4 linked regions of the Arabidopsis thaliana genome follow. The protein of the gene in region 3 interacts with the protein of the main gene of each other region in a pairwise test. Each region holds a gene or a part of one and is shown on either strand. Other genes may lie near its edges.

What was found.
Region 1: the proteins of MHX (region 3) and ABCG20 interact in a protein complementation assay, tested with the Arabidopsis thaliana proteins (one large-scale study listed by BioGRID).
Region 2: the proteins of MHX (region 3) and AT5G19570 interact in a protein complementation assay, tested with the Arabidopsis thaliana proteins (one large-scale study listed by BioGRID).
Region 4: the proteins of MHX (region 3) and CNGC13 interact in a protein complementation assay, tested with the Arabidopsis thaliana proteins (one large-scale study listed by BioGRID).

The regions. Positions count from the first base shown.
Region 1 is NC_003074.8:19,835,882-19,842,052, forward strand, and holds ABCG20 (ABC-2 type transporter family protein), read right to left. Parts: upstream 4,103-6,171; 5' UTR 3,641-4,102; coding exon 1,421-3,640; 3' UTR 1,267-1,420; downstream 1-1,266. Other genes in the region: RS2Z32 (RNA-binding (RRM/RBD/RNP motifs) family protein with retrovirus zinc finger-like domain-containing protein), read right to left, coding at 1-31, 520-626; UXS1 (UDP-glucuronic acid decarboxylase 1), read left to right, coding at 5,754-6,171.
Region 2 is NC_003076.8:6,604,335-6,608,308, forward strand, and holds AT5G19570 (uncharacterized protein), read left to right. Parts: upstream 1-2,229; 5' UTR 2,230-2,404; coding exon 2,405-2,818; 3' UTR 2,819-2,987; downstream 2,988-3,974. Other genes in the region: ROPGEF10 (ROP uanine nucleotide exchange factor 10), read left to right, coding at 1-101, 204-278, 623-895, 980-1,306, 1,392-1,796; AT5G19580 (glyoxal oxidase-related protein), read right to left, coding at 3,261-3,974.
Region 3 is NC_003071.7:19,522,945-19,529,449, forward strand, and holds MHX (magnesium/proton exchanger), read right to left. Parts: upstream 4,637-6,505; 5' UTR 4,368-4,636; intron 3,952-4,367; 5' UTR 3,885-3,951; coding exon 3,494-3,884; intron 3,408-3,493; coding exon 3,232-3,407; intron 3,141-3,231; coding exon 3,022-3,140; intron 2,931-3,021; coding exon 2,758-2,930; intron 2,610-2,757; coding exon 2,494-2,609; intron 2,376-2,493; coding exon 2,159-2,375; intron 2,072-2,158; coding exon 1,942-2,071; intron 1,872-1,941; coding exon 1,574-1,871; 3' UTR 1,173-1,573; downstream 1-1,172. Other genes in the region: PHR2 (photolyase/blue-light receptor 2), read left to right, coding at 210-451, 546-611, 707-788.
Region 4 is NC_003075.7:433,275-439,920, forward strand, and holds CNGC13 (cyclic nucleotide-gated channel 13), read right to left. Parts: upstream 4,318-6,646; 5' UTR 4,130-4,317; exon of another isoform or gene 3,998-4,129; 5' UTR 3,969-3,997; coding exon 3,940-3,968; intron 3,814-3,939; coding exon 3,291-3,813; intron 3,218-3,290; coding exon 2,706-3,217; intron 2,580-2,705; coding exon 2,468-2,579; intron 2,378-2,467; coding exon 2,141-2,377; intron 2,053-2,140; coding exon 1,658-2,052; intron 1,578-1,657; coding exon 1,295-1,577; 3' UTR 943-1,294; downstream 1-942. Other genes in the region: AT4G01000 (Ubiquitin-like superfamily protein), read right to left, coding at 1-453; AT4G01020 (helicase domain-containing protein / IBR domain-containing protein / zinc finger protein-like protein), read left to right, coding at 5,812-6,646. UniProt on the Arabidopsis thaliana protein: Putative cyclic nucleotide-gated ion channel.

The sequences.
Region 1 (6,171 bases), on a different chromosome or scaffold from region 3:
ATAATCACGCTTCATATCCACATCTCGTACTCTGCGTAAATTGTTGCCAGAAAATCAAGGCCATCATTACTTAAGGAACTTCCAAACACCAGTTTTTGAGATTTGAGGCCATTTCCAATAAAAACATGCAATAAATCAACAAACAAAATCGCCGATGCACCCTCTATACACCAGACGAGAATTTCCACCAATTACACCACAGTCCACCCATTCATCAAACATCTCCAGGTTAGGCAAACCCCCAGAAACCTTCAACAAGATCATTCAAGTTAAAGAAAAAAAAATCCACTAAACCTAGCTCCACAATTTTCCCACATGTACCAATGCAACGTTATAAGTAAAAACTACCCTCTTTGATTCTAATGTTAAACTTTAGGTATATATCCCCTGCACAACATCAAAGAGGAATCATTCCAGATTCACACCAAAGAACAATTAACAAAAAATCCAAACACTTATCTCCCCAAGAATACAAAAGTCAAATTAGGTCAGTCAAGACAAAGGAATATGACTCTTTACCTTCCGTATCTGCTAAAGAGACGCTCAAGGTCTCTGGTACGAGTTCTAGATGATAAGCGACCAACATAGAGGCGAGTGTTTCCATAGCGATCATCATAGCGAGGCATTGTCAAGCTGCAAAATATTTTTAACATAAGCTATTAGGCACATATGTATATATATATATATATATGCCAATCACAAGAAAAAGAATAACAGTATCCTCTTCAAATTATATAAACAAGAAAAAGACCAGAGAGTTAAAACACTACCTCAGACCTAAACATAGAACCCATGTGAATATCTATGATTTTTCAGCAGAACACAAATCCAAAAACAAAGAAACCAAACTGAATAACACATTCAGAGGCGAAAAGAAGAAAATTTCGTGAGGGGAGAATATAAATCTCTAATCAGATTAGACAGAAGGAAACCTATAAAGGAAATCTACGGCGAGGAAACGAGAAACCAATTGAAATCCCTAATCTAGAGAGCGAAGAACAATAAAATCGTAACCCTAAACAGATCCAATTACAAAGATTCTTCCTCGTACCTGGAGAGACGAAGAAGGAGAGTGCAAATACGCAGTAACCCTAATAATTTCGAAACGAAGGAAGTGAACCGCGGATGATACTGCGATTAGTCTTCAACCCCTATCTTATAACTTGGAAACCGACGAGATTCAACGGTAGCGATTTGTTTCAATCAACGGTTTAGATTTCACGGCGAGATAAACGTCGATATTACCGATATAGAAAATAGAAAATTGCACACTTTCCAATTTAGTACTTTTATTGGGCCTTATATCAACTCTAAAGCCCATTAAAGATTTAGCAAACATATGCAATTTCGTATTAATCATAAGTATTAAGTACATCATAATCATTGGTCAAGTTACTCTAATAATTTTCTGTTTTGTAAATCAGCGACGCTTGTTCTTGCTTCCGATCAAGAGTGTGAAGTAGAAGAGAACCCTAAAGAAGAATCCCCAAGCTACAGTGATCCACAAGCAATTCCATTTGCTTATCTCCGTGATTCCTTGCTGTTTCAGTATATCGATTCCCGTCGTTACGCAAGTCTCCGCCGTCACGTTGATCCCCAAAACGCCGCTCATGCTCTTCAGGAGGCTGATTTTCACGGCGGTTGGAACTTGTCCCAGCGGCGAATTGTCGAACATCTGGATCCCTCTGACGAAGCATTTCGTCGGATCTTCGAATTCGTTCTGTAGAACACCTTCGTAAGGGTATTTCACTAGGGAGAGGTAATGGAACCAGATCCAGTAGAGTGGGATTCGATCTCTAGAGATGAAGAATCCGGAGAAGAGGAGGAAATAAGCGAGGATTGCTACAACCACCGTGAATCCGATCATCACGTGTGAGACTACGCCGGATAAGAACGTCACGAAGGAACTTCCGGCCCAAAACGCGGTGAGGATTGTGAAGAAGAAGAAGAGGAATCCCTCGGAGCCTCCGGCGAGTCCTACGGCCGAGAATGTTGAGGCGGCGAATGCGGCGGATAAGATTATGAGAGCAGGGATGGAGATTATTGTGTGAGCGAGGACGTATGATGATCGCCGGTAAGCGTTGTAAGCTGTTTCTCTCATGAATATGTAACGTTCCTGTAGAAAGACTGGTATTGCTTCTGCACATGTGTAGAATGTTGTGGACATTGCGAATGCGAAGAACCCTAAGCGTTCTTGTATACCTCTTGGTGAATTGTCTAGTTTCCAGAATATTGTGGCTAGGATCATTCCGGTGACTAGTACAGCTCCTAGGCGGATTCCGAATAGCTCTGGTTGTCTTCTTGAGTTTAGTATAGATCGTTTACCAATTACGAGCATTTCAGTCCAGAATGGGTTTGCAAAGGTTTGAAATGATGATCTTAGGTTTGTTGCTCCGGAGACAAGCTTACCTCTCGAGATACTTGCGCTGATTGCATCTTTGAGAGATACATTGGTGTTTCTTCTGCTCTGGCTTGAGGTTTGCTTTGCTCGCCATTGCTTGTGGAACTCGACTAAGGATTTCGTTCCTTCTGGCGAATCTTCCAGCTCACGGATAAGATCGAGTGCAAACTCCGGCTTGTTCTCGTTTTCAGGAATTGGGTGACCGAATTCTGAGAAGAACTGAGGGAGGTGTGTCGGGGAGCCGCTGTAAACGGTGTTTCCCCTAGATAGGAAGATTAACTTATCGAGTAATCCCAAGATTCTGTAACTCGGCTGATGGATGGACATGATAACTATGCTGCCGCTTTGTGCGATTCTCTGAAGCACTTTGACAACCATGTATGCACTGGTAGAGTCAAGACCAGAAGTTGGCTCATCGAGAAAGAGAATAATCGGGTCATGGATTATATCGGTTCCAATTGAGACCCTTCTCCTTTCTCCTCCAGACACACCTCTGTGTCCCTCATCACCGATCACGGTTTTTGCTGCGTTCCTCAGGCCGAGCTGATCAATCAGAGCTTGAACCCGTGCCTTCTTTTTCTTCTTAGAAAGCGAGCTTGGAAGCCTGAACTCAGCAGAAAACATCAACGTCTCTTCCACGGTGAGCATCGGGAAGAGAAGATCATCTTGCATCACATAAGCTGATATGACTTTATGCAGGCTAGATTCAAGAACTTCCCCATTTAAAGTAATATCACCGCGTAGGCTCTCTTTTGAAATCCGATTGGCTAATGCATCGATAAGCGTTGATTTCCCTGACCCGCTCGCTCCAAGAACAGCCATCATCTCTCCTTCCCGGGCTTCACCAGAAATACCATTCAGGAGCACCTTAGTATTCATCTCCATATCATTACCATCAAAAGGTGAATTCCCACAACAAGGAAAGGGCTTAAACTTCTTCTTGATCTTCACGCTGTAAGTCAAGTCTTTGAAGGAAAGAACAAACGGAGAAGAAGAAGGCACACGAGAAGACGGAACCGAGGACCAGAAATTGGACGCAACCGCAATATCCATAGCCCGACTCTGGTCATCCCCCTCATCTTCCACACTCATGAGAAGTTCTGCAAGTGTGACAGACACCCGCGCAGTGTCTCTGTGACATCTCTGAAGCTCCACTGACTTGTGGATATTGTAAAACAGAGGGAGGCCATCGCCATTGACCCGTTTGGCCGGAGATAATATACCGAACAAACCAGACATCACGTGAATTATTGTCTGGTTAATGTTTTGGCCTCAGGTAATGTGTCTAAAGGTCTTACCCACAGAACAATTTTGATCGACTTTATAGGATATTTGGATGGGAGAATGAGGGAGAAACTTGTCAATTAGTTTGGTGATCTCTAAGTATCTAACTTTGAGTTGTTCTGGGTTTTGTAGCTTTTCATATTTACATGTACATAGCTTTTGTTTATATTTTCGTATGTATATAAATTGTAAGTTACGAGTAGGTGAGGAGTTGGGCAAATCCATCCACATTTTTCCGTTATTGTATGTATTTTTTCTTGGGGCTTAAGGTACTCTGTAAAAAAATCCTATTTTAGGTGGTTTTTGTTTACAAAGTGGAAAAGTTTACTCCATGGAATTACGTGTTTATTTCATCTGTATATAATGTATCCGGAGTTTATGGAATTGCAATAAGTATAGCTTATGTAACATGTCAGGAATAGAATTTCTCCTTGCACATGTATGTATGTCACGAATTTCTTAATCTCCTTTTGTTTATTATAGTCACGACCCGCGAGTTTTCTATAATCACTTACAAGCTCTAAGACTTGTTTTTTGGTGCGTGAGACAATAATTGACTAGGGGTTAATTGGATTTCCAACTATTTTGAATCAGTGAATATCTTCGTACAGTAACTAAAGCACGCTACGAATATACTGTTTGTTGTATCAAAATCAAATCATCCAACATTTTGAACATTTATTTAGCGGTTACTAATTAACTTTTGCAATTAGTTAATATCAAACACATAAGATATTCTCATAATTAGGATTTGGCATGGTACTATACTAAGATTGTACAAAGGCATGCCATTATGCATAATGAAGCTAATGGCGTGTTATCTTTCAATTGTTTGTTTAATCATGCACACCATTTTCGTCATATAAAAAAGCGTAAGTGAAGCCTATTTCATTTCAAAAAAAAAAAAAAAAAATTATAAGGATCATTGATTTGTACTTTTGTAGTTGGTGAAACAAAAAGGAAATGAATGTGAAAATTATGGCAGAAAAACGTGCAGATGTTCGGCTTTGATGTTGTAGAGCTACACACGAAAACACAACAAAAATTGTCATTAGGAATATGTAATGGAAACTTTATATAACGTGATGAGTTAGATTTAGGCATATGGAAGTTTGGTGTAGCTGTTATATCTGTTTTCTTGATTATTTTACTTTTGATAACCCATTTTTACAAGAGTTGTCAAGAAATAATAGAAAACTATATACTTAGTATCATCAGCTTGTCTCTATCAAGTTGAACTAATGATTTATCCAATGAAATACATAACATTTCTTATGGAATGTACACTTTCACACAGAGAATGAGTTTATATTATTCTGGTTAAGTTTAGTAAGACTTTCTTTATGTAAAGATTGTTTTGAAATTTTGTGTTTGGTAGAGGATATTTTGCTAAGTTTCCCAACATAATTTTGTTAACACTTTGAGATTTATCAGGTAGGACTAGATCAAGGAATTGAATCCCTCAGGTTTGAGATTTCGTTCAATGCTAATATTTGTTAAATCGTACGAGAAATTTTTACTCTCGTCTGTTGAGTAACAGCATGAGAGAGTTTTCATTCAAAAAAAAAAAAAATAGCATAAGAGCATATCTCTAGGCATAACATTTTGTGGGCTATTAAGGGGCCAAACTTGGGCATCCAATTGTTAAAAGCCCATATTTTGTAAGCCTCGAGGAGTTTTTTTTGTTTGTTTCCACATTTGCCTAAAGTTTTGTATATGTTCATTGAATAATATACAAATCAAACGCAAATCACATTAATGATCCCCTCAAGAATATATATATAAAAAATTGCATATATTATTAAACAATTAGTGAAATTACTTAATTAGATTATCTGATAATCACATATAGATTTTAGAAGCGAAACATATATATTTGCTCTATAACTAAAACAAAATAAAAATAAAAAAGAGAGCGAAGGATTGCATCAAGTAATCGCCGTGTAACTAACTACTTTTGCATTCACCATCGCTCTTACGTTTGAATCTATCCAGATCCAAAGCTCTTCTTCTTCCCGGCAATTCTGAGATCTCATTTTCACCGGCGACGAGCTTTAATCGGAGAACGATGAAGCAGCTTCACAAGCAAATGAGCTCGAAGCGTGATGAAGAAACCATTCCCATGAGCCAATCCAGTCCTTACTCTCCCAAAACTTTAAAGCATCCCAGATCTCTTCCCAGATCGCTTCACTATCTCTTTCGTGAACAACGACTCCTCTTTATCCTCGTCGGGATCTTGATCGGATCCACTTTCTTCATCCTCCAGCCTTCTCTCTCTCGTTTAGGCGCCGCTGAGTCCACCTCGTTAATCACCAGATCTGTTTCCTACGCCGTCACCGATTCCCCGCCTTCCAGGTCGACTTTTAATTCCGGAGGCGGCGGAGGTAGAACCGGTCGTGTTCCCGTCGGTATCGGACGGAAGAGACTGAGGATTGTTGTCACCGGTGGAGCTGGTTTCGTCGGTAGTCATCTTGTTGATAAGCTTA
Region 2 (3,974 bases), on a different chromosome or scaffold from region 3:
AGAATTGGAGGAAAGAAATGGGTTGGTTATTATCTGTGATTGATCACATTGTCCAGTTTGTTCCTTCTAGACAAATGGGTAAAAATGGCCAATTCACTGAGGTGAATGCATGCAACTGTTAGTCATTAATTACGTACATATATAACAACTACTAGTCTACTAGTGACGATTTTTCTTATTAACCCTAATTTTCTCCTTTGTAGATCATGGTTACAAAACAAAGAGATGATTTGCTGACGAACATTCCAGCTTTACGCAAACTTGACTCGGTTCTTCTCGTGAGTTTAATTACTACTTGATTGTTTCAACCGCGGTTTCAACGTTTGGGAAAAATTAAACCATTATATTATATCAAACACCACATCGTTTCAAAAATATTTTGTTTGCAACAATATCCATGACACTAGGACAAACTACTATATATACTACAAGTCATAGTCATCTTTGCAAATTATAAAGATAAATATAACTGAAAACGTCATAACACCAAGAGTACCATCTCATTAATTAATTTCATATAGGAGTGCATGTATTATAAAATGATCATGATATATATATATAACAAACAAAAATAGATGAGTTGTGACCATTTATCATACTAATGCAATTACTCATTTGGCAGGAAACTTTGGACAACTTCAAGGATCAGAAAGACTTTTGGTATGTGCCAAGAGATATGGAGGATGCAGATCACAATGGAGATTGGAGGAGGGATGAGAACTGGTGGTTACCAGTTGTTAAGGTTCCAACAGATGGCTTGTCTGAGGAATCACGTAGATGGTTGCAGAATCAGAAAGATTCTGTGGCTCAAGTCCTTAAAGCCGCCACGGCCATCAATGCTCATGTATTGTCTGAAATGCACGTTCCTGAAAACTACATTGATTCCCTTCCAAAGGTTACTTACTTCTTCTTCAAAAGTGTTCTGTTTCTTTACAATTTCCACTAAGCTAGGAAGCTGATGAGGCTGTTGGTTATGTAGAATGGGAAGACAAGCTTGGGAGATTTTCTTTACAAGAGCATAACAGAGGAGAGCTTTGATCCTGACTACTTTGTCTCTTTCTTGGATTTGTCAACGGAACACAAAGTACTTGATCTAAAGAACAGGATTGAAGCTTCCATGGTGATCTGGAAGAGGAAGATGTGCCAGAAAGAGAAAGACGGGAAATCTCAGTGGGGATCCACTGTTAGCTTAGAGAAGAGGGAGCTTTTCGAAGTCCGAGCTGAGACCATTTTGGTTATGCTCAAACAACAATTTCCTGGGATCCCACAATCCTCCCTTGAAGTCTCCAAGATTAAAAACAACAAGGTAACATAACATAACAAAGACTAAACAAACATCAACAAAAATGTAGTGAGACTGAGTAAGAGTTTGTTGTGATTTGATCTTACAGGATGTTGGACAGGCGATTTTGGAGAGCTATTCAAGGGTACTAGAGAGTCTTGCTTCAAAGATAATGTCAAGAATAGAGGATGTTCTTGAAGCCGATCGGCTAGTTCAAAGACAGTTGATGGGAGAGGCAGAGACAAGATCAGAAAGCGAGGCAGAATCAGAATACGAGGAAACTGAAAAGGTGGTTGCAGCGGAAACACCAAACTCGAGGAAACTATCAGACTTCATAGGGTGGAGATTGTCATCTGATACTAAGAAGCATAGTTCAATGAGTGATATAGAATTCTTCCACAAAGTTGAGCAGGAGAAGGAGAAGCCCATGATGAAGTCTCCAAGAGCTCTACCGAAGAAATTTTCATATCTAGCAAAGTTAGAGAACATGAGAAGCCCTAGTGACAGACACTGATAGTGAAAAGAGAAGGTAATAGAACAGGGCATAGAAGAAGAAAAACACAAAGAGAGTGAGAGAGAGAGAATAGAAGAAGGTTAAAGTGTGTGAGAATGTACATATATAACAATGCAGGCATTGGTTTTAGGATTTGGACATGAGACTTGGTGTTTGATCATGATTGTTGCTTGTTTTGACTATTGCTTCCTGTTGTTTTTTCTAAGAAGGAAGTGTGATTCAGTGTGTAACAATATTTTGGTATTTTTGTTCTTTGGTGTTTTGTATTGTAACGTCTAATCTACAACATTGTTTCCTAATGGATTTTGAAGCTCATTGATAATGACTAGTAGTGTAGTAGTATTGTAATGAAACATTATTTGATGACGACATGTAATTTAGTGGTTTGTGATAATACCATTGATCTGTGTTTACCATCCGGACTATTCAGGTATTCGGGTCCGTTATTTGGATTTTTAAATTTTTCGGATCGGGTTTAGTTCGGTACCTTTCGGGTTCGGGTCGGTTCTGGATATCCAAATAATTCTTCTTTTTGATCTCCTTTACTCAACATTTAGTGGTTAAAACACAGAACAACGGAAAAGGCAAATCGGGATCAGCCACCGGCGATGAAGGAAGACATGGATAAGATGGTGGCGGTAGGGCTCGTATGGGGAGCCACCAATGCTCTGATCCGTCGTGGCGCTCTTGCCTGGGATAAAACAAAGTCTTCTTCGACAACAGAATCTCATTCTCCTCCTCTTCAGATCCGCCGCAAAATCATGATTGCTCTCCGCGACTGGATCAATCTCCTCCTCTTCTGGCAATACTCAATTCCTTTCCTCATAAACCTCTCCGCCTCCGCCACATTCTTCGCCCTTCTCAGTCACGCTCCCATCTCTCTTGCCGTTCCGGTGACTAACGCCACAACCTTTGCCGCAACCGCCGCTTTTGGGATCCTTTTAGGGGAAGAAACTCAAATCGGACTTGCTTTGTTAGGTACGAGCTTTATTGTATTTGGAATTTGGCTTTGTGTTCTGTGAAATTCGAATTTTGTAAAACCGTGACTCTGTTTCTGTGAGATCTATTTTGCGAAAGAACTATTTGTGTACCATCTTTTGAGAATTTTAGCTAACTCTCTGCAATATTATCGAAGGTAATTAACATTACTAGTCAATGAAACAAACAGTGACTTGCAATGAACGCATCGAATGATTTATACGCAAAACCGAACTAGTGAAGAAAGAATAGAGCCAAAAGTAATAATAAAAGAATTTCTCCAATACAAAATTTAGTCATAAAAACTCACCGAAAAGGTTTACATGAACGGAAAAGTTTATAGAAGTGAAAGAAAACACAAGTAATTTGGATCCATTAATGGTGGCATAAACAATATATATAGAAGGAAAAAAAAACTGATATTATGTGATTGTTTTATATTAAGATGTTACGGTCATAAGACAAAATGGGTAAAAATTATCGTCATTAGACGACCTGAATCCATTCTCCAGTGCTGGGAACACCTTTGTAGATGGCAAAGATAAGATAGTAACCCGGTGGAGCGATGTTTCCATTTGGTGGTGCAACGGCCTGGATATCGTAACCGGCACCAGCAGGTTTGACATTATTGACACCCAAGATGAGCATCCTCATGTTCATTGAGATACTGTGTGTTGTGAAGGCAGGGGCTAACATGGTAACCTTGAGATTTCCCTTGGTTGCTCCCTTTTCTTTAAGGTCGACCTTCACGTTGAAGAATTGTCCGTATTTGACCTGTTTTGGGGTGCCGGTGGTGACGATCTTTGGCCTTATGTTGGCTAGAGCCGGGTCGAGGTAAGGTGGGGAGAATTTCTCAACGCGAAGCTCCGTTGGGAACTCAACGTTGTACTTGTAACCGTCGTTGGTGTTGCTGCCACCGACAAGAACCTTACCGTCTGGAAGAATGATGGCGCTGGAGTGGTACATACGTGGGATGGTGGTGGGCTTGAGCTGTCTGAAACGCTTGCCACGTGCAGCATGGGGCTTGTACAAGAGGGGAGCAAAGGCAGGGTCTTTACCATATCCCCAGCCTGAACAACCACGTTTAGCTCCGTTGACTAGAAGGATGTCTCCGTTAGGGAGGATGACAGTATCACTCATGATTCGTGGGGTTGGCATCATCTCCGTCTTCCATCGTGGCTTTGCGCTGTTGATCCTTAT
Region 3 (6,505 bases):
GCCAATTGGTTCCATTTCTATAGGAGAAGAGCTACTTACCCATAGAGTGATAGGGATAAGTACTATCAAGTGTTAATAGTAGTAGTGCTGTTTGAAGGTCCATGGATTCTTCTTAGGATCAATGAACGTTTCTCTTTAGGTCCAATATTCGTCTGCGGCTCTTACTGTCTTACACCTTCTCTTAGGAGTTAACATTTTGTTCTGCTCAGGAGGGGAAACCGACAATGGTTGGAGGAGAGACAGAGGCGTTGACTAGACTAAAGAGCTTTGCCGCGGATTGTCAGGCTCGGTTGAGCAAGGGAAACCAGAAAGGAGGCAACAACAGTGTCTTTGGTGCAAACTTCTCTTGCAAGATATCACCTTGGTTAGCCATGGGAAGCATCTCTCCTCGTTCCATGTTCGATGAGCTGAAGAAAACAATCTCCGCATCAACCACCTCCACAACTCCAAGGTAATGTCTCAGAAACGCAAAACACTTCAGGAAACTCTGGTGAACATAGTAAGTGTATGTGTCTAATTATCATTCTTTGAAATGATTTTCTCAGGAACGGACCGGGAGATACAGGACTCAACTGGTTAATGTATGAGTTGCTATGGAGGGATTTCTTCAGGTGAGCTCTTACTTTCTTAACTTGCCCCCTAGTAGAAATGTAGAATTTGTATTTTGTCTGATTCTCTCTTTGATGTGTGTTTAAACTTGGAACAGGTTTATAACCAAGAAATACAGCTCAGCGAAGACGCAGGTCGAGGCTGGTCCGGCTACAGCCTGTACCGGTGCCTTTGCTTAAACATTTGAAAACTTTCAGGTGACCGGAAAAGTTAGAAGCGACCTGTTTCTTTGCCCTACTCTGGTGTATGGTGGATTAATTTGCTATCCGGACAGGACTTTACTGCTCTCTTTTGAAACTTGAGTGTCAGGAGAATAAAATCTAAGCTTCTTTTTTTGGCTCAATCAAGTTGTCCGTTCCCTGTTCTAAACATTTCGGATACTCATTCCATAAAAAGTCTCTACAATTTGAGACGCTCTCCTTTGTGGTTAAGACTTGAGAATGTATCTTAGAAAATAACCGAAGTAGTTGTGTCTATGAATATTAAATTCAGGAATATTAAGATGTCACTAATATCAGAAGCAAGCAGCAACTAGAATATGCACTTCGTGGTAAATGGGCATTAGAAATTCTACAACACTTATTAAAGAACCGTACTAAACACTAGTTACTTGGATGAAAGTTACATATAAAAGTTTATATTAATCGACTAAGATTATTTGCTTGACTTTAGAGAAAGTTTGCATATATGTACCACAAATTGGTAACACTGCAAATAAAAAAACAAAAAAAACTGCAGGATAATGAAAATGTACTCCATATATGCACCTCCTAACTAGAGATGAAGCCTCCAAAATCATAGTCAATATGATTTATATTTGCAACACATATTTAGCCAACTGCCTTTGAACTTTGATAATTATATAAAACCCCCTTAACAAGTAAGAAAAACAAAAACTGAGACATGTGCAAGTAAGCTAAGACTTTTTCTTCTACTCATGGGGTTTTTCCTTTTGTTGCTTCTTCTATATGACGCCTGAAACTTTCAAAGAAGAAAGAACAACGAAGACGACCCAAAGCATCATGAAATAGGCAGAAGTAAGCCAAGCCCATAGCCTTGGACCTCCAAGCTCAGCTCCTATAATCAACCTTCTCAACACAAGCACCACGATACATCCCACTGATGTCGCAAAGAATATCAGAAGCGAAAAGCTTAATCCTTTAGCGTTTTCTATGTATAAAGGCTCTCTGTATGCAAAGTAGTTGTAGACTGTGTTTATCAGCCACGGAACTCCAATCCCCACATAGATGTTCACCGAGTTACTGCATAATTTATCACCAAAAAGATCATGAAAAGATCTTCAATGTTTGTAAAGGGTTTTGAGATTTTTACCTGCAGGTGATGTTTGCAATAGCTGAATCTGCGGTTAGTTGTCGCTCTGCAGCGATTTTACTTGCTACTAAGTCTGGCCATGAAGTTCCACTTGCGAGTGCTGTGAATGCTATCACATATGGGTTTATTCCTGCAAGATGAAAAGAGTTTCTAATGTTTTAGAGCTCAAATGTTTAATCTTATAACTTCAGTTTTTGAAAGCGGTGAGGGTGTGTACCAGTGACACAGCTTATAAGGTCAGTAAATCTTGTGACAACAAAGGCTACTCCACTGATGAAGAGGAGAGAGCAGATGAAAGCGATCCAACCGTGAGCAATGTTGCAGGGGGGCACAAATGCAAAAAGCAGTTTCCAAGGGGCGAGGAGTAAATGCCAGAAAGATTTCGCGATTCGAAGATAAATGCTATCCACTTTCTTTGATTCTGATGTTTCCAACTGTTTGATTACGAATAGGAAGAGAAACAAGTTAAGAAAGATGTGTTGATAATGATCAAAAGCCCAAAATAGGATATAGAAGAATCTAGAAAACACTTGGTAAGTTGAAGATTTTTACCGTTATTGCATCCACGAATTGATGTTTCCAAATGTCAAAAACAGTAGAATTCTTCGCCTTACCCTTCTTAGTCGCAGAATCGGGTGGAGTATCTGCCACAGTATGATAAGTGATCCCTGCAAAAGTGTTTGTTACAGGGAAAGTTTGATTTATAACAATATACTACCAGAGATAAATATGGGAATCACATAGATTTGGAAATAAGCAAATACGCTAAAACTGATCTTATATCAATAGAATAGACAGCCTAATCATACTTAGTACCTGTATCATTGTTAGCTGAATGAATAGAGAAGATATCAACAATGTTTCTGCTTCCCGATTCAACAGCATCTTGAGCAGCATCCGAATACACATCATGAACATCATTGTCATTGTCATCTTTGGATGTATCAATCTCCTCTGGAACCCACTCCTCTGGCCTATCACCTCTTGACCTGCAAGTATCAAATACAAACACAAAGATACAATCTTTAGTAGAAATCCATTTTGAAGGAACTAATATTATTGTCTGGAAAAGAAACCCACATTGGTAAAGACAAGTAAGGCCATCGCTTGTCTTGGGCGTACGCATGAACTAGAAGCAATCCGTATTGCAGTACTGTCAATAATGCCTCCACAAGTGTAATTACGTTTGGTGACCACACCTGTGAGACGTGAAAAGAAACAGATTTTTAGACCTTATCAGTATAGAGTATAGACTCAACAGAATCTGTTTAAACCGCTTTTCACAGTTACCTCGAGGATTATGTATAGCCAGATGTAAGCCCAAAAAGACCATACGAGCTCAACTAGCCAAACACCTAAGTCGGATATCTTTTTCAGTTCTCCAGCTTTTGGCACAACGACACAAACAGCGTGGATGGGGAAAAGATCAAATGCAGCTGAGCCAACAAGTGTTCCAGGACCAAGACCTATATGACAAAACATGATATAAGAATTCATGAACTTAAAAGTAAAAACTAGAGTTTTGGAAGGAAGAAAGGAACAACCACCAGACCTCCAGCATACCGCTCCCCCATATTCCGTATTGCATCGATGGTAGCCAAAGAAATCTGAGGGAAGCTAGTTCCAAACGCCAACAAACTGATGTCTGCAATAGTAAAGTTCCAAACTTTCTTGTATGTGATGACTTCAGCTTTAGTAATGGGATCAATTGTAACCACTTTACGGGAATGTTTCACGACATTCTCCATAGACTTGAAGAACCGTGCAGTGATGGCTGACAACCCAATAAAGCAGTAGGCAAGACCGAGAAAATATAACACACCCCTCAAACCATCTGACAAAGTGTTTTCTCCGGGGAATAGAAAGAAGTTTTCACATCTTAAATGCCCAAGAACCTTAGAAGATTCTTGCAACTCCTGGGTTTGATTAAGAATTGAGGCCATTGTAACTTATTCAAACCCCACCTCCTAATAAGTCAACTGAACACTTGTCCTCACTGGGGAAAAGAATCTGGCACACCAAAAAGAAGCTTACAACTTTTAGAAGAAACTGATGAAACCTGTAGCCTGATCGATCGAACAGTATCAAGAGGATGCGAAACAAACGGAACATGCAAAAAGATTTCTTTCCAGAGAATCTGTAACACAAACTAAACATTGCAAAGGATCCAATGGCATGTAACCGAAATCCAATCTATAACCAATGCTAATAACAATTGCATGTTCCACTGTATGCGTAATCAAAATCCAGAGGTAACCAGATCAAAAGATTATAACTTTCATCATGGGTTCAGTAAAACAAGTTGGGTTCTTTTCACAAAACCATAATTTTCAACGAACAAATCTCAACAAAAATAGCTAAAAAATAAGAAAAGAACAGATGAAACAGAGTGAGCCACGCGACGAAATTGATCAATGCGGACGTACCGGAGAATATCTCGGTGAGCGGCATTCACAATACGCCGATCACGGGAGAGATTTTCCGACAAACGGAAATCGAGAGGAGCTGATTGGAATCGGTCAAGCGTTGGATATTGCGGTGGAGACTTGGGAGCCATTTATACACATCTCTCTAATCTCTGCATGACACACTTCAATTATTGTATCGAAACGAGGATTCAAGCGTACATCGACCGACACGTGATCTTATCTAATTGGATGATTTACTTGACTAACTAGGATTAATTAATCTCGCCTTTCTTTGGTAAGGTTTAAGAATATGAGACCTCAATTGCAAGTTTTTTTTATATCTTTTTACTCCCTGAATTTTGTTTCATTTCATCCTTATAAGCATTAGATTTTAATTTCAACCTGAGTAATATTAGTTTTATCATCTCCTCGAGTTTAGATATTATCATAAACATATATCTTACTAAAAACCTGACCTGACTAATTTATTTTCTTTATAAAAGATAAACATGATAAATATGAAGTGTGAACGCATTATCAAATCAGAATTAGTGGATATATATGTATTTTGTTTTTTTCTGATTAAAAAAATTATTGAGATATATACAATTGAACTATGAGGACAAAAAATATATATATATATATATATCTTATTATATAAAGTATGGTTTTCAAAATTGACTTGGCACAGTGTCAAGTCAAACGATTAGATGTTTACATGTGTCATTCAAAATTTAACTTTTTTATTCTTTAAAAAAATAGAAAATCTTAAAAAGTAAACAAATTTACATATACTAATTTATATGTCTATATATTTATAAACAATTAACATTTATTCAACAAAAGCAAAATTAACAAATTTGTCTTTAACTCATGTAATCATAAGTGAAAATAGAACACTTTGAGAAAAATAGCTTAGCTTATAGGATTTAACTTTTCAATTATTTTCATTTATTAATTTTAACTCATTTAATATTAATTTGCATGATGTAAAATTAACTTACGAGATTACGTGGGTGATTGGTTTGTCTGTAACTGTAGATTTACTGCTGTAGAATTTTTGTTGTAGGTGTGATGACTGTAGCTGTAAGTTTTATTGCTGTAGAAATTAGACTGTAGGTTTTATTAATATAATTATTACTTAAAGAAATTGGGTAGAAATAAGATTTTGGTTGTATGTATTTTTAAACAAAAAAATATTATCGGGTCGGGTTCGGTTTGGGTTCGGGTTCGGGTTCGAGTTATTTATATATTGAAATATCAAATTTTGTGTGCAAATCTATTAAATTACTTGAAATTTTCAAAAATTCCCAAAACAACATGAGTAGTTTTGCTTGAATATATCTAAAAATACACAAAAATAACTAAAATATCCAAAAAAATTCTAATATTTTCTATATATAAGTATAAATATAACTAATATATACTTATATTTGAGATATGTTTGCATACCTATTCGGGTTTGGGTTTGAGTTTTTCGGGTTTTAAAGTTTATATCCGTTCGAGTATTTGAAAATTTCGGGTACACCCGCCTAAATAGGCGGACCTTATCTAGTATATATATACATTTGAACTATATTGTTTACTTTTTAGTTGATTTAGGCTATGTATGACATTGACATAAATCTACCTGTTATTTATCACGTGTAATTCGTGTAAAGTGTAAACTAGAAAGTTCAAATACGTATTTGTTTTTGTTCTGTTATATAGGATTGTCATAGTTGTAAATCTACAATTTATTACAACATGAATAAGTACACAAGCAATGTAATTGGATTTAATTGCTAAACTCTTTACATGGTCAATCTAAATTTGATAAGAAATACGTCACATATTACTAAGACTGATAGTTTTTTTGTTGTCACCAATTATTTTTGTTAAATTGACGAAAACAATTCCAAAAACTCAAATGTACAAAATCATACAGTCTCACAAACATCTCATAGAGAAAGATATAAATCTCCCATATGGGAACGATAACACGAGGTCGAAATACTATTCGTAAAACTAAAACGCCTTAGTTATAAATCGTTAGTTGTAACCGCGGTCGAGAATACATACAGATCCACGAAACTACTACTACACATGCTGCTGAATTGGAATTTGGAAAAGACCATCTTCTTTAGGAAGAGCTCACCCAATGAGTGACAAAGGTG
Region 4 (6,646 bases), on a different chromosome or scaffold from region 3:
CACTTTATTGGATTGCTTCTTCAGATACTCAAGAGCCTTTTTCTCAAGGTTCCTCCCTTCTTCACCATCCTTCCACTCCTGAAGCCTATTCTCTGCGTTTACATGCCTCAATCTCCGTCCACTCATATCCCTACAAGCATCGAAGTTGTTCGTCTTCTTCTGCCCAGCTTTCATACCCCCACCACGAAGTAACGATCCGAATCCTCCTTTACCTCCACGGAGTGAAAGGACAAGATTCACGGTGGCGTCAGGCTGAGAAATCGCGGATCCATCGGAGATTTGGTATCCTCCGCTTATCAATCTCTGTAGATGCGTCGGGATCTTCGTTTGCTCGAAGATCCGCTGCTTGATCTGCTCGCCATAAGCTAACGGAGAGGAGAAACTTAGGGTTAATGATTTTCCGTCGAGTAGTCTCACGAAAAACTGCAACGGCTTAGAACTCTGATCCGCCATCGATTTTCGATTCAAAAGCTTGGACGAAGAAGAAGAAGTTCGATTTCTAGAGAGGAATCAGAGAGAAATTGGGGAAATTTGACGGAGCCCTAATAATAAGTCTCTCTCTCTCTCGCTGCTTGTTGGGCTAAGATTATTATCTTATCCACACTTTTGGGTTTATGACTGGGCTTTATATTGTCTGAATCTATGTCGGTCAGGAGAAATCGATTTTTTTTGTACAATTTGACCAAACTAATATCTATATATGATATGGTAAATGATGTATTATTAAGTAAAAATTATCTACAATTGAATCTTATAATAAATATATATATATGGAAAAATTACTCTTAGATAAAATAACATGATAAATTGTATGTTATTGGTTAAACATGTTATTTGTTTTTTTTTGGTCAAAACACACACATGAAAAAACAATTTTTAAATAAATTTGTTATATTTACTCCAAAGCTTTTAAAACTAAAAAAAAAATTAAGGTTACCTAAAGTTATCAAATTCATATATATAACCATGTTTTATTTTTATAAAGGTATCTTCAATAGTGATCTCTATATTTTCCTTTATTTATAGATATGACTCTATTTTAGAGGCTGCTCCAATGGTCACATGTAAAATAGAATTTTCTTTAAAATAGAGGAGATATCATCTCTATAAATAAAGATCTCTACATTTAGTCTCTATTTTTTTCCTATTTTTGAGGAAACTCTATTTTAAAAGTGACCATTGGAGCATCGTGCCTATAAAATAGGGTCACTAAATTTTTGTAATTAGTTTAAGCTTTAATGTCGTTGACACAATATTATATACAAGTGGTAAGTGGACATGTGTAAGAGATATTTTAAGGGTTTCGGAGACTGAAATCAGGCTCGGAGGGTTTAGGAGGTAGCAAAGGTAGGTTGTTTGTACGCAGATTGCGAAGCGCGTTTGAAGCAAACCGCGACGCGTATAACGTTGCAACCAGGCTAGACGAAGACGCCGCATTGCGTTCGCGTTTTGTGATCGCGTTTCGGAATCGATCTTCTTCTTCGGTTAATGATCTAGCTAGTTTCCTCCGGCAATGTCTCCGCCACGCCGCTTGTATGAAAGACGCACCCCAAGTTCTCCATTGAACCGAATAAAACCTGACAGTTAAACCGAATTAAACCAAACAGAACCGGAGATTGGAGAAGCAGAGAGATCAGTCAAAAGAGACCAAACAAACCTGAAAGTATGTTGAAGCTGTTTGCTATGTAGTCGTCTGAACTGTGAAGCAACAAGCTTGAGATCATCTGCTGCAAGAGCAAAGGCTTCTACTTCGGTTAAAGCTTGAACTGTTCTAGTCGATATCGGAAAATGAGACGAAGATTGAGGATCTAATGCCCATGTGAGAAGATCTTCGCCGCAAAAGTCACTAGGTTTTAGGTATACGGCGTTAAAGAAGCCGGTCCGGCCACCGTTTGTGGTGGCGCTCATCAGTTTTCCTCTCATGACAAACAACATCTCTTCCACTGGATCTCCTTCTCGAATTGCATAGCTGTTCTCGGTGTAGAGCACTGGTTTTAGCTTGTCACACACGGCATCTAGCAATTGCTCATCCATTATCTCGAACAGAGGTACCTATATATATTTGATTCGATCAATGATTATTTGAATGAAATGTCAAATTTGAGGATCAAAGAGATAAGGTGGAACTAGAAGCACTTACTTTCTTGAGAAGATCGAGGCAGAAATGGCGTTTGATGTCTCTCCTGAGGTCTTTAGGGAGATTACGCAGAAGGTTTTCTTCTTCTACTCCTCTAGTTTCCTGCCATTTGTACTGCTCATACCTTCTGATACGTTTCCTCAAGTCATCGGGTAACATTCGATGAGACATCCATTGCTCTGCATCTCTTTTTCTCACTCTCATCTCCTCTTCCCTCACTGTAGTTGATTCCAAGTATTTCTGTTATGGAAAGTGGAAACATCAGTAGTGTTTTATCTTCCTTGGGGATCAAGTAAGTGATGGAAAAAAGGCAGTGAAATGAATATATACCTGCATATTGCCGATAAGTAGTGCGAATAAGACTAGTCCAGATATACAAATTGATACAGCAAATATGATTTCCCCAACGAATTTGCTTGTATTGAGATTTTGTCCCAATGCACTGCAGCGAGTGAGAAACAGCAAGTGATCAGATTAGTGTTTCATGCTCAACATATCTTAGCCAGCCATCAAGTGTGTCACATGAATCCTAAATTACTAATAACTAGATAGAGAGAGTGTTACAAACCTTAAATTACGCAAACCCCACCAGAAGCAGTAGAAGAACTTCTTCCAGAAATCATCTGATTCAACAATCCCACTCTTTAAAGCATCAGTAAAGATACCAAAGTTGAAGACAGTTGAATTTGTTATATCATCAGGGTTGATAAACGGGCACGAGGTAGTCAGGAAATCGTTTCTAACACTACTGTTTCCATCGCAGTAGAGAAATCTAAAGTTACACACTTCTGGTATCTTCTCACAAGCTTCACGCCAGCATCTGTCTTCTCGTTCTACTGATATTAAGTACCATAAGGCTCCAAACACATGACTGGCTAACATATAGAGAGATAGGTTCCAAGCAGCTCCAGCCCAAGCGGTTTCAGTAACTATGCCAGATGTTCTTGTAACTTCAGTGTAAAGTGGATAGATACGAAGAATCCTTGGAATGTATTGAGTAAATATGACAGTTATCAAATAGTCCTTAGTGATCAAAGAGACCGGCTTGTTGACATTGGGGATGACAGCTAAGACTACAAGCTGCAGCAGATACAACAGAATATTAAAGAACCATCAAGAAGGAACTATAAAACCATTAGGAACTAAAGGTTACCTGTGGGAGTGGAAGGATAGAAAGAAGATCGATGATGAAGTAGGAGGAGAGGTACTTGATGGCTATAGCTTTAGGATCATCAACCAACTCGCCTCTTCCGAAAACACGAGAAGAAGGAGAGATATAAGCAGTTCTAAACTGAAACACAATGTGAATGATGTAGAAAGCATCTATAAACGTGCGAAGCACACTAGCTGCTATCTCCAAGTTACGATGCAAATTAAGACAGTGTCTTTCTCCATCAACAATAGGAATATAGAAAAACAATGGATCAATAGCCAAAGCAATCACTGAAGCAAAAAGAAAGATTTTGTTCCAGTTCTGTAAAAAAGATCCTTGTGGGTTTATAATATTCTTCTGTGTAGTGGTACTAGAATTAGAATCTCTCTTCTTATTATGTGAACCAAAACTTAAAGGTTTCTTAAGTCCTCTACGAACATTCTTCAAAACTGTGTTTAGAGATGGTCTAGCTTTATTTCTTCCGTAACCATACTCTGTTCCCTCTGAAATCCAATCTCTGAACCTAAACAAAAAATCATCAACAAAAAAGAATATTTTTTCTGAGAATCATTCATATCCATAGTTTCTCAGTAAATTCATTCTAAAAAAAAAAAAAGACAGAGATTAAAGAAAGCAAGCAAACAACAACCTTACACGATTGTTGCGGCCAAAAGCCATGAGTCAAGCTTTTTTTGCTATAACGGATCCTGAATCATAAGAACATCGATTTGATCGCTTTAATTCGTTATCCCCAAGTTTACAGTAACAGAAAAAAAAAAAAAAGAAGAAGAAGAAGAAACGGAAACTAAGAAATTAAAACATTTATATCCGAAACTGACCAGAACGTTGAAGTAACTGAGAGAAGCGATATAAGAAAGATTATAGTAAGAATTTTCCGATGATCTGAAATTGGGAAAATTCTCGAAATTAATTCTCTGAAGTTTTTTTTTGAAGCAGTCAAATAAGCTATCATCGTAGAGTCAAGCTTGGCATGGCGCTGGAAAATGGAGACTCCATTGGCAGTTTCTTCGAAATTGTGTGCATTTTACAATAAAAGACAAAAGAGAGGGAATTATTAAAGAGTCAAAAACATTTGATGGGCCTAACCTTAATTAAAAGCCCAATTCGATATTGAATTTGATTTTAAAATTCAGAACTTGTTATATATCAGACCAACACAGTAAACATCATAGATTCCAGTAATGCATCAGCTATAAACAGATCCTAGCAGTGTGAAATAGTAAATATGCTACGATTTAAAGGTTTGGATCCAAAGAATTTTACCAACTTCATAGCAGATTGTTCACACTCTACACTCAATAAGCCAAATGTAAACAAAAAGATGACCAAAGATCTTCACAAATCTACCATGAATCACAAAATCTATGAAGACAATGTGATTTAAAGCAAAGATCTTACAGTTTTTATGGGCTCTTAGTTAAATTTTGAGATAGTAAATTTTCATATAGGCCCAACCGCCCAAGTGAGCAATCTTGCAGGACTTTTGTGTTGTTTATGGCTTTTGTCTTGTCTGACTCATGAAATCTTGTTTTTTTTTGTAGATAAAAGAACGATAAATGACGCTTTTAAAACTTTTTAAAGACGAGAGTTCTAATAAAATTAGGAAATAATAATATATGATGTTGACAAAAAATGTAGAAAAATATATGAAATTTTTATTGGCACGAAAAATTTGTAGCGAACCGCATCATATCATCACTTATATAAGCAATATTTTTTGAAAATAACTCATTTGAATATCATTAATTAAGCAGATGAGAAAAAATGATATGAGGTTATTGAAATTTTTAACCAAATTGTTTTTTATATAAAACATGTAACACTTTCTGTTTGTTTTTTCTTTTATATAATTTTGTTAACACCTTTCTATATTTTCTGCTTTCAATATTTTCTATTTTCTTTTATTTTGAAATAGTATTTTTTTTTGTAGGGATTTGAAAATAGTTTTTTTTTTGTAGGGATTTTAAAATAGTTTTTGAAACTACTAACTAATTATTAATAAAATTCAATGCTTTGAATAAAATCTAAATGGTATACAAATATTAAACTTTACAAGAATATGAGTTAACTATTTAATACCTTTAAGATTTCATATTTACTTTTGATGATATGTACATTTTAATACGTATATGGCAATATCATTGGTAGATACACTATTTCTAACTTAAATTTTAAAATGTGGTAAAAACATAAAATTGAAATACTAAGAAATGTTACTTTAACACTTTTATCCTCAAATTTGGATTTCTGGATGTTTCTATAGGTCGAACCAATAATTAAAGAATTGATAGTAACAAAATGGGTTTTAATATTGATTAGAAGAAAATTAAATTAGGTTAAAGAAAAAGGAAAGAGTAGACGAAAAGTTAAATAAATTTTAATAGGGTTTTAATATTGATTGATATAACTCTCTGACTCTTCTGTGACTCTTTTCAACTTCTGACTCTTTCTCTTTCGCTCTCTCATTCTTAACAAGAAAAAAAACTGGCATCATCTCATCATGAGGAACTCTTTTCCTCCTTCAGACGGTGGGAGATCGACGACTGATCGTCGTCAGCAGTCGTTTCCCTCATCCTCAACGAACCGTTATAACTCTCGCTCTGCACAATCTTCTCCGCCGCTCAACCACTGTACTACTTGGAACCAGCAACACTCTCAGTACCATAACACTAATTTCCCGCCAAATTACAGACGTGATCGTGCTCCGTCGTCGGGATTCTCTCCTCCAGTCACGCGGGCTAGGCCTAATTTCATCGTTCAGCTGCTTCACCCCGCCGCCGCTAACAGTGACACAAAGCTGTCTAAGAAGCAAGAGATCGAGAGTATCGCTTTGCTTTGCGAAATTCCGGAGGAATCAGTTCACGTGCCTCAATTTGGTTGTATCGCTGCAAGCTTCAGTTTTCGTCAGTGGGTCGATGCGCGTTCTGCCGTTGTGGCTCTTTGGGATTATCGTCTTCAAGGGAGACATGATTTTGTTCCTGAGCTGATTCCTAATGTTGTTGTTCCGTCTGACATGGACGAGCTTAAAGACAGGCTTCGTGATCTTTTCTCGTCTCATGTTCTTTCGCTTATGGAAAATGGACAAGGGGTCAAGAAGGTGAGAATGGAGATTGATGACAAGTCTCGTCAAGTTGCGTCCTTTTCGTCTAAAAGGGGTCTGAAATTTGAGGTTTTTGAGAAAAAGAAGGCTCTTGAAGCGGAGAGAGATTTGGTTGTGAATCGGCTTGACGAATTCAATAATGCCATGAAGAGCATTTTGCGATATCTCATAGGACAAGACGGGTATGAGTTTGATGTAGATGATGAAGATGACGAAGACGTGGCCGTGTTTTCTT